2 linked regions of the Saccharomyces cerevisiae S288C genome follow. The protein of the gene in region 1 binds, or shares a complex with, the protein of each later gene. Each region holds a gene or a part of one and is shown in the gene's direction. Other genes may lie near its edges. The genes, in order: RNR4 and RNR1.

The links.
Region 2: the proteins of RNR4 (region 1) and RNR1 are in contact, whole or in part, in a crystal structure (PDB 1ZZD), measured with the Saccharomyces cerevisiae proteins. Residues at the interface, in NP_011696.3 of Saccharomyces cerevisiae: Asn340 (codon at 3,089), Phe341 (codon at 3,092), Asp342 (codon at 3,095), Asp343 (codon at 3,098), Asp344 (codon at 3,101), Phe345 (codon at 3,104); in NP_010993.1 of Saccharomyces cerevisiae: Glu343 (codon at 2,591), Ser691 (codon at 3,635), Gln692 (codon at 3,638), Lys693 (codon at 3,641), Ile696 (codon at 3,650), Leu716 (codon at 3,710), Met721 (codon at 3,725), Gly722 (codon at 3,728), Lys723 (codon at 3,731), Thr725 (codon at 3,737), Ser726 (codon at 3,740), Met727 (codon at 3,743), Phe729 (codon at 3,749), Tyr730 (codon at 3,752).

What each region holds. Positions count from the first base shown.
Region 1 is NC_001139.9:854,764-858,372, reverse strand, and holds RNR4 (ribonucleotide-diphosphate reductase subunit RNR4), read left to right. Parts: upstream 1-2,071; coding exon 2,072-3,109; downstream 3,110-3,609. Other genes in the region: protein translocase subunit TIM13, read right to left, coding at 1-86; OKP1 (Okp1p), read left to right, coding at 3,478-3,609. UniProt on the Saccharomyces cerevisiae protein: Provides the precursors necessary for DNA synthesis. Catalyzes the biosynthesis of deoxyribonucleotides from the corresponding ribonucleotides. RNR4 is required for proper folding of RNR2 and assembly with the large subunits.
Region 2 is NC_001137.3:297,386-302,439, forward strand, and holds RNR1 (ribonucleotide-diphosphate reductase subunit RNR1), read left to right. Parts: upstream 1-1,564; coding exon 1,565-4,231; downstream 4,232-5,054. Other genes in the region: ARG56 (bifunctional acetylglutamate kinase/N-acetyl-gamma-glutamyl-phosphate reductase), read left to right, coding at 1-616; TDA2 (Tda2p), read right to left, coding at 4,562-4,942.

The sequences.
Region 1 (3,609 bases):
ATAGGGTTTGGGGTTGTCTTTGCAGTAGTGGCTGCTTCCTTTTGTTGTGATGGTGCACCGCCGCCAAAGATAGATGATAGACCCATTTTCTTGATTAAATAAGCTCAAACTGTTGTTGGAGAGAAAAGATTGATTGGTTTGAACTGACAGATATCCTACTTGAATCCTCTTTTTGTCGATTTTATAAATCTTAGGACCTAGGATTTTTTTACTCTTCGGCAACGCCAGGAAAACTAAGATACACCGGAAACAAGAGGAAGGAGATCAAGAATTAGCGTTGGCTAGTAATGTGACTAAAGGGGAAAGACATTGCTCTTTATTCGCTTATATTTTATTTGTTGTATTGATATGATCTCTTTCTGAATCTGTAGCGACCTGTCAAATCGTCAAGGGTATGGTTTAATGAGGAAGTGAAACCATAGCGCTAGCGCCAGTTCCAGGTTTGATACATAGCAAATCTATCATATGTACTCATAAATGCCATTTCAGAACTCATTTAGCAGTTTTGTTTTAGCTTGAACGTTATCAGAATTCTTGCGGGTAATACACCGGTGCAAAGTCCATTATCGACGGGAGAGATAACAGATGCAGGCTCCAAGAAAAGTGGTCATGGCTTTTATCACCAGGACAAACTAGCAAGGACAAACATTTTATTCGGATGATTGGATTTAACGGCTGGGCGAGTGGGTGATACCGCGGTGTTACCATCCTCTCGGTTACAACGTCACGTCTTTTTCTGTTTAACCCTTTTGTACTAACAAGGAATAAATTATATTCAATGAATTATGAACAGTCAAATGCGTATATATTGGCGCTCCACCTTTATTGTATATCAGATGAGGTAACATTACTTGTACCGCGCTCGCTTTCAACAAATAAGTGGTTGTTTGGCCGAGCGGTCTAAGGCGCCTGATTCAAGAAATATCTTGACCGCAGTTAACTGTGGGAATACTCAGGTATCGTAAGATGCAAGAGTTCGAATCTCTTAGCAACCAATAATTTTTTTTTCAATAATTAAGTACCAATTTCCTGCTAATGGGCAGGCCCACCTTTATTTCTTTTTTTTTCCATTAGAACGAGCATTTCAGGCAAGAAAGGGAACCGGCGAAGACGGGAAAGTGTACTTTTCACGAAACAAAGAAAATGAAGTACGCGTCTAGACTATTCCCATAATGTTTACGTTTCACAGAAATTGAGGAATCTGGAGATAAGGCAACGAGGACCACCTGAGTGTCGCCACTAGTACCTTGCTATACGAATATCCTGTGTGTGAGTGTTTACGCGTCTATGTGATTTCGCTTCCAGAGTGGTTGCCATGGCAAACTATTCAACCCGCTCTTTTTCTATCCAAAACCAACAACAGAACATGAGCAAGCCCCACTCCACTGAATATCTGGAGCGCCTCCACCGCTTGTGTGGTCTGCCCCCTTCTGCGAGGTCGCCTCTGAGCTTAATAAGCACCGTGCGCCTACCTTCGTTTCCCTTTTTGAGGGTACCCGCCCATACACCGCACCAATGGAACTAGCAGGTACGACCACCCAACACCAAGCACCGGAAACCGGACAGTGCAAGTTCTAGCACACTGAAAGCGGCGCACGAGAACGCGCTTTTCAGCGTGCGAGAACCACGTTTTGGCAGTTATTGTTCACCACAGCGTCTCTTGCCTTCCCGATGGGCGTTGTTGTGGCAACACCATCCTCTTTGCTTACTGTAATCGGTAGACGACGTCCGTTCCTTCCTTGGTCTCATGAAGCTCTGGCGTATAAAAACGGCGATTGAATCTTCAATGTTCCTAAAGTTTCATTCCTTATCTCTCATTTTCTTCATTTTTTGTCTCTTGGCTTTTCGATCAAAAAAAGACTATCAATAGATACATTGGTTTCTGACCCCACCTCTGTCCCCTTACACTATCAAATTTCACTTTTTTACTTTTTTTTTTTTTGCAAAAGGCCTTGTCTCGAAACAGAAAGAAAAAAAATTCATTTAAAAAGGGAAATAAAAAATTGCTAATACAAAAACAGATCTTTTTGAGCCACACAACCCCGCGCAACGCACACAATTAGTTATTACAATGGAAGCACATAACCAATTTTTGAAGACTTTCCAAAAAGAACGTCATGATATGAAAGAAGCTGAAAAGGATGAAATCCTTTTGATGGAAAACAGCCGTAGATTCGTGATGTTCCCTATCAAATACCACGAAATCTGGGCTGCTTACAAGAAGGTTGAAGCCTCTTTCTGGACTGCGGAAGAAATCGAATTGGCTAAGGACACTGAAGATTTCCAAAAATTGACTGATGACCAGAAGACCTACATCGGTAACTTGTTAGCCTTGTCCATTTCTTCTGACAACCTTGTCAACAAGTACTTGATCGAAAACTTTTCTGCCCAATTGCAAAACCCTGAAGGTAAGAGTTTCTACGGGTTCCAGATTATGATGGAAAACATCTACTCTGAAGTTTACTCCATGATGGTTGATGCCTTCTTCAAGGACCCTAAGAACATCCCTCTATTCAAGGAAATTGCCAATTTGCCTGAAGTCAAGCATAAGGCTGCTTTCATCGAGAGATGGATTTCCAACGATGACAGCTTGTATGCTGAAAGACTAGTAGCATTTGCTGCAAAGGAAGGTATTTTCCAAGCTGGTAACTATGCTTCTATGTTCTGGTTGACTGACAAAAAGATTATGCCAGGTTTAGCAATGGCCAACAGAAACATCTGTAGAGACAGAGGTGCCTACACTGACTTTTCATGCTTGCTATTTGCCCATTTGAGAACCAAGCCAAACCCCAAGATCATTGAAAAAATCATTACCGAAGCCGTGGAAATTGAAAAGGAATACTACTCAAACTCTTTGCCAGTAGAAAAATTTGGTATGGATTTGAAGAGCATTCACACCTACATAGAATTTGTCGCTGACGGTCTATTACAAGGTTTCGGTAACGAAAAATACTACAACGCCGTCAACCCATTCGAATTCATGGAGGATGTCGCTACCGCTGGTAAGACCACCTTCTTTGAAAAGAAGGTTTCCGACTACCAAAAGGCCAGTGACATGTCTAAGTCCGCTACCCCATCCAAGGAAATTAACTTTGATGATGACTTCTAAGTCAACGACGGGGTGCGTTCTTTTATTCTTGGCCACTTTTATTTATATATATTTATATATACCTAGGTACAGTATAACTAAACTTAAGTAGAAAAATTTAAAAAGAAACTACAGTTTTTTTTTATATTTATTATGACAATATTTGCCATTTTCTTGTAGGTAGATAAGGGAAAGATTCAGAGAGTACCATCATCCCGGTCATTTCATTTAAATAACATATTTTTGTTACCCGGAGAGTCACAATACGGTCCACCCATTTGTTTACTACCTCGAAGTTAATACAGATAGAGGTACATAGCAACAATGGATGAGGTAACTTGCACCCTATGGACGAATAATTCAAGCGATACTAGTGCTACGTATACTGTATGGCAGCTGATAGAGATAATTTTTTACAAAATATTGAAAATGATTCAATTAACAATGGCCAGGCCATGGATCTGTCACCCAACCGAAGTTCCTCTGAAAGCGATAGCAGCATTCTCATGAATGTGAATGAT
Region 2 (5,054 bases), on another chromosome or scaffold:
TGATAGAGCAAAAATTGCAAACGCTGCCAAAATTGCTAATCCCGGTTGTTATGCTACTGGTTCGCAATTAACTATTTCTCCGTTAACAAAGTATATCAATGGTCTTCCAACTGTGTTTGGTGTTTCAGGGTATTCAGGCGCGGGGACGAAGCCTTCTCCAAAAAACGATCCCAAATTCTTGAACAATAACTTAATTCCTTACGCTTTAAGTGATCATATACACGAACGCGAAATCTCAGCTCGCATTGGGCACAATGTTGCATTCATGCCCCATGTTGGGCAGTGGTTTCAAGGTATCTCTTTGACCGTCTCTATTCCAATAAAAAAAGGTTCCTTGTCTATTGATGAGATCAGGAAATTATACAGAAATTTTTACGAAGACGAAAAGCTAGTACATGTCATCGATGATATCCCACTGGTTAAAGATATTGAGGGCACCCATGGTGTAGTTATTGGTGGTTTCAAGCTGAATGATGCTGAAGATCGTGTAGTTGTTTGCGCAACCATCGATAACTTACTTAAAGGCGCCGCTACTCAATGTCTGCAAAATATTAATCTTGCTATGGGTTATGGAGAGTATGCTGGTATCCCTGAAAATAAAATTATTGGTGTCTGATCACTGTGTATAGTAGATCTGCAGCTCAGTCACATGAGACATTAACGTATATAAATATATAAATATATATATATCCATTAAATAACGAAGTAGGACATGGTCTAAAAATAGTGCTTCTCATGTATTGATTTTGAGTAGCCATAAGAATAATTATTGATTTCAAGATCTTTGATCTCCTTACATCCAAAATTATAATACCACTTTATGGTATCACGACATCACCACAACAGAGAAGGATTGCCGCATTTGGATATCGTAAACAAAGGCGTTACCATAGAAATGTACTGATTGGCAGAATTACTCTTCAGGAGAATCTTTCATACAAAGGAATTCCATTGGGGAAAATCTCGTTACCAAGTCAATGCTGAACTTTCTATGGCCTTTGTTTACTATCGTTAATTATTTTACGACCACTTCTGGGTAGAAATATTTCGTAGCCCTGGAACGAGCTTGTTTACGCGTTTTATCCCATTATATGGCACCCAAATCAAATTTAAAAAGAAAAAACGCGTAAACAGTGTCGGGTAAGTTCATCCTCTGTTACTTTAATTGCTTCTTTTTTTGAAATTCTAAGTAAACGCGTCATTTTGATCCTCAGGACACAGAAATCCTTGCAGAATCTTATTGGGTGTTGAATAGAGGACGCGTAAAAACGATATGGAAATTTTTTTCATATAGTGTAGAAAGAATAGGTTGGCGTAGGTAGTTTCGTGTTTGATAGAAACCTCCAACAAAGTCTGCAGCTCACGTTTTAGAATAACAAGTTTAGAGTTTATCTTGTTGCCTTTGTTAAGTCAGTACCATTGAATAAAAATTATATAAAGGAGCTAATATTTCATTGTTGGAAAATTACTCTACCATAATTGAAGCATATCTCATCCTTTTCATCCTTTTCAACGCAAGAGAGACACCAACGAACAACACTTTATTTGTTGATATATTAACATCATGTACGTTTATAAAAGAGACGGTCGTAAAGAACCTGTCCAATTCGATAAGATTACCGCTCGTATATCACGCTTATGCTATGGTTTAGATCCAAAACATATCGACGCCGTTAAGGTCACCCAACGTATCATTTCTGGTGTCTATGAAGGTGTCACAACAATCGAACTAGACAACTTAGCCGCTGAAACATGCGCTTATATGACTACTGTTCATCCAGATTACGCCACCCTAGCGGCCAGAATTGCCATTTCTAATTTACATAAACAAACCACAAAACAATTTTCTAAGGTTGTCGAAGATCTTTATAGATACGTCAATGCTGCTACTGGTAAGCCCGCTCCCATGATCTCTGATGATGTCTACAATATTGTCATGGAAAACAAGGATAAATTGAACTCCGCAATTGTCTATGACAGAGATTTTCAGTACAGTTATTTTGGTTTTAAAACTTTGGAACGTTCTTATTTACTAAGAATCAACGGTCAAGTGGCCGAACGTCCACAACATTTAATTATGAGAGTCGCACTAGGCATCCACGGTAGAGATATCGAGGCTGCTTTAGAAACGTATAACTTGATGTCTCTAAAATATTTTACTCACGCCTCTCCAACGTTGTTCAATGCCGGTACTCCAAAACCTCAAATGTCCTCTTGTTTCTTGGTTGCCATGAAGGAGGACTCTATCGAGGGGATTTACGACACCTTGAAGGAATGTGCTTTGATTTCCAAAACTGCTGGTGGTATTGGTCTACATATCCATAACATTCGTTCAACTGGTTCTTACATTGCTGGTACAAACGGTACTTCTAACGGTTTAATTCCTATGATTCGTGTTTTCAATAACACTGCCCGTTATGTTGACCAGGGTGGTAATAAAAGACCTGGTGCGTTTGCCCTTTACCTGGAACCATGGCATGCTGATATATTTGATTTTATTGATATTAGGAAGAACCACGGTAAAGAGGAAATTCGTGCAAGAGATTTGTTCCCTGCTCTATGGATTCCTGATCTTTTCATGAAGCGTGTCGAAGAAAATGGGACCTGGACATTATTCTCTCCAACATCAGCTCCTGGTTTAAGCGATTGTTACGGTGACGAGTTTGAGGCTCTATATACCCGCTACGAGAAAGAAGGTCGTGGTAAGACTATCAAAGCCCAAAAATTATGGTATTCCATTTTGGAAGCTCAAACTGAAACTGGTACACCTTTCGTTGTTTACAAGGATGCTTGTAACAGAAAATCTAATCAAAAAAACTTAGGTGTCATCAAGTCATCAAACTTATGCTGTGAAATTGTTGAATACTCAGCTCCAGATGAAACTGCTGTTTGTAACTTGGCTTCCGTTGCCTTACCAGCATTCATTGAAACTTCTGAGGATGGTAAGACTTCCACATACAACTTCAAAAAATTACATGAAATTGCTAAAGTTGTTACTCGTAATTTAAACAGAGTCATTGATCGTAATTACTACCCTGTTGAAGAAGCGAGAAAATCCAATATGAGACATAGACCAATTGCTTTGGGTGTTCAAGGTCTCGCTGACACTTTCATGCTGTTACGTTTGCCATTTGATTCTGAGGAAGCCCGTTTGCTAAATATCCAAATCTTTGAAACTATTTATCATGCCTCCATGGAAGCTTCTTGTGAACTAGCTCAGAAGGACGGTCCATACGAAACTTTCCAAGGATCTCCTGCTTCTCAAGGTATACTACAGTTTGATATGTGGGACCAAAAACCCTACGGCATGTGGGATTGGGACACCTTAAGAAAAGATATCATGAAGCATGGTGTTAGAAATTCCTTGACCATGGCACCAATGCCTACTGCATCCACATCCCAAATATTGGGTTATAATGAATGTTTCGAACCAGTCACTTCCAATATGTACTCCCGTCGTGTCTTATCCGGTGAATTCCAGGTTGTGAACCCTTACTTACTGCGTGACTTGGTTGATTTAGGTATTTGGGATGAGGGTATGAAACAGTATCTGATTACACAAAATGGCTCCATTCAAGGCTTACCAAACGTTCCACAAGAATTGAAGGACTTATACAAGACTGTTTGGGAAATTTCACAAAAGACTATCATTAACATGGCAGCCGATCGTTCTGTCTATATTGATCAATCTCATTCTTTGAATTTGTTCTTACGTGCCCCAACTATGGGTAAACTAACAAGTATGCATTTTTACGGATGGAAGAAGGGATTGAAGACCGGTATGTACTATTTGAGAACCCAAGCTGCATCTGCTGCAATTCAATTTACTATTGATCAGAAGATTGCGGATCAAGCTACAGAAAACGTTGCTGATATTTCCAACTTGAAGCGTCCATCATATATGCCTTCCAGTGCAAGCTACGCTGCCAGCGATTTCGTGCCCGCAGCTGTGACTGCAAACGCAACTATTCCATCTCTAGATAGCTCCTCGGAAGCTTCAAGAGAGGCATCTCCAGCTCCAACAGGTAGCCACTCATTAACTAAAGGAATGGCAGAATTAAACGTTCAAGAGTCTAAGGTAGAAGTTCCTGAAGTACCTGCCCCAACTAAGAATGAAGAAAAAGCTGCCCCCATCGTTGATGATGAGGAAACCGAGTTCGACATTTACAACTCTAAGGTTATAGCATGTGCTATTGATAACCCAGAAGCTTGTGAAATGTGTTCGGGTTAATGAGGGCTAAGTTTTTATTTCTTCAATTCTATTTATCAAAATTTGGGTGTTTACTTCGAGGTGTAATTTATATTTTCTTTTGTTTTCTCTGATAAAAAAATTGGTTTCCATTCTAATGCCAAGCTAAAAGGTACCTATATATGTTTACTAATTATTTTTCTACTTTGCATATATACATAAAAAAAGTCGAATAATTTAACATGAACATTTTAAGCTGTCCTTGTAAGAAGGCCATGATACAGATTCCCCCCTGCCCCGAAATGGGGTCTAGGCAACATTGTTCTATAAAGGAACGCAACTTTATGTGGCAACATTAAAGCAAATACATATCTACTTGTGAAGCCAAAGAATTGTAATTAAATAGCACTCATTATTATTTTTGTCTTCTAGTTTATAGTTGAATATACCATCTTTTTTAGATTCCCAGGATGCGCCTATATCGTTCTTCAATGAGAAATTAGCGTTTTCTTCGTTGAGTCCTTCAATGTTCAACGTCGTTACCGAGGCAATATATTTATACAAAGAAGAGTGCTTTTCAAGTTTTTCTAGGACCAGTTTTATAAGAAGGTTGGAAGTTGATTCGGTCGATAAATTGATTTCATTGTCATCTTTTAAACTATCATAACTTTCTTGAATTAACGTAACTAGTTTTCTTTCGGGCAGAGGAGAGTTATCACTCCTTCCATCCTTTATTTCAATCTGCATACTCATTTTTTTGTTGACTTTCGTAATCACTTACTTTCACTTATCCTAAATAATTTACAGTGCGTTTTGTAAAACTGCAAGACGGTATCCGCTAATAGAGAGAAGAATACGTATTTTC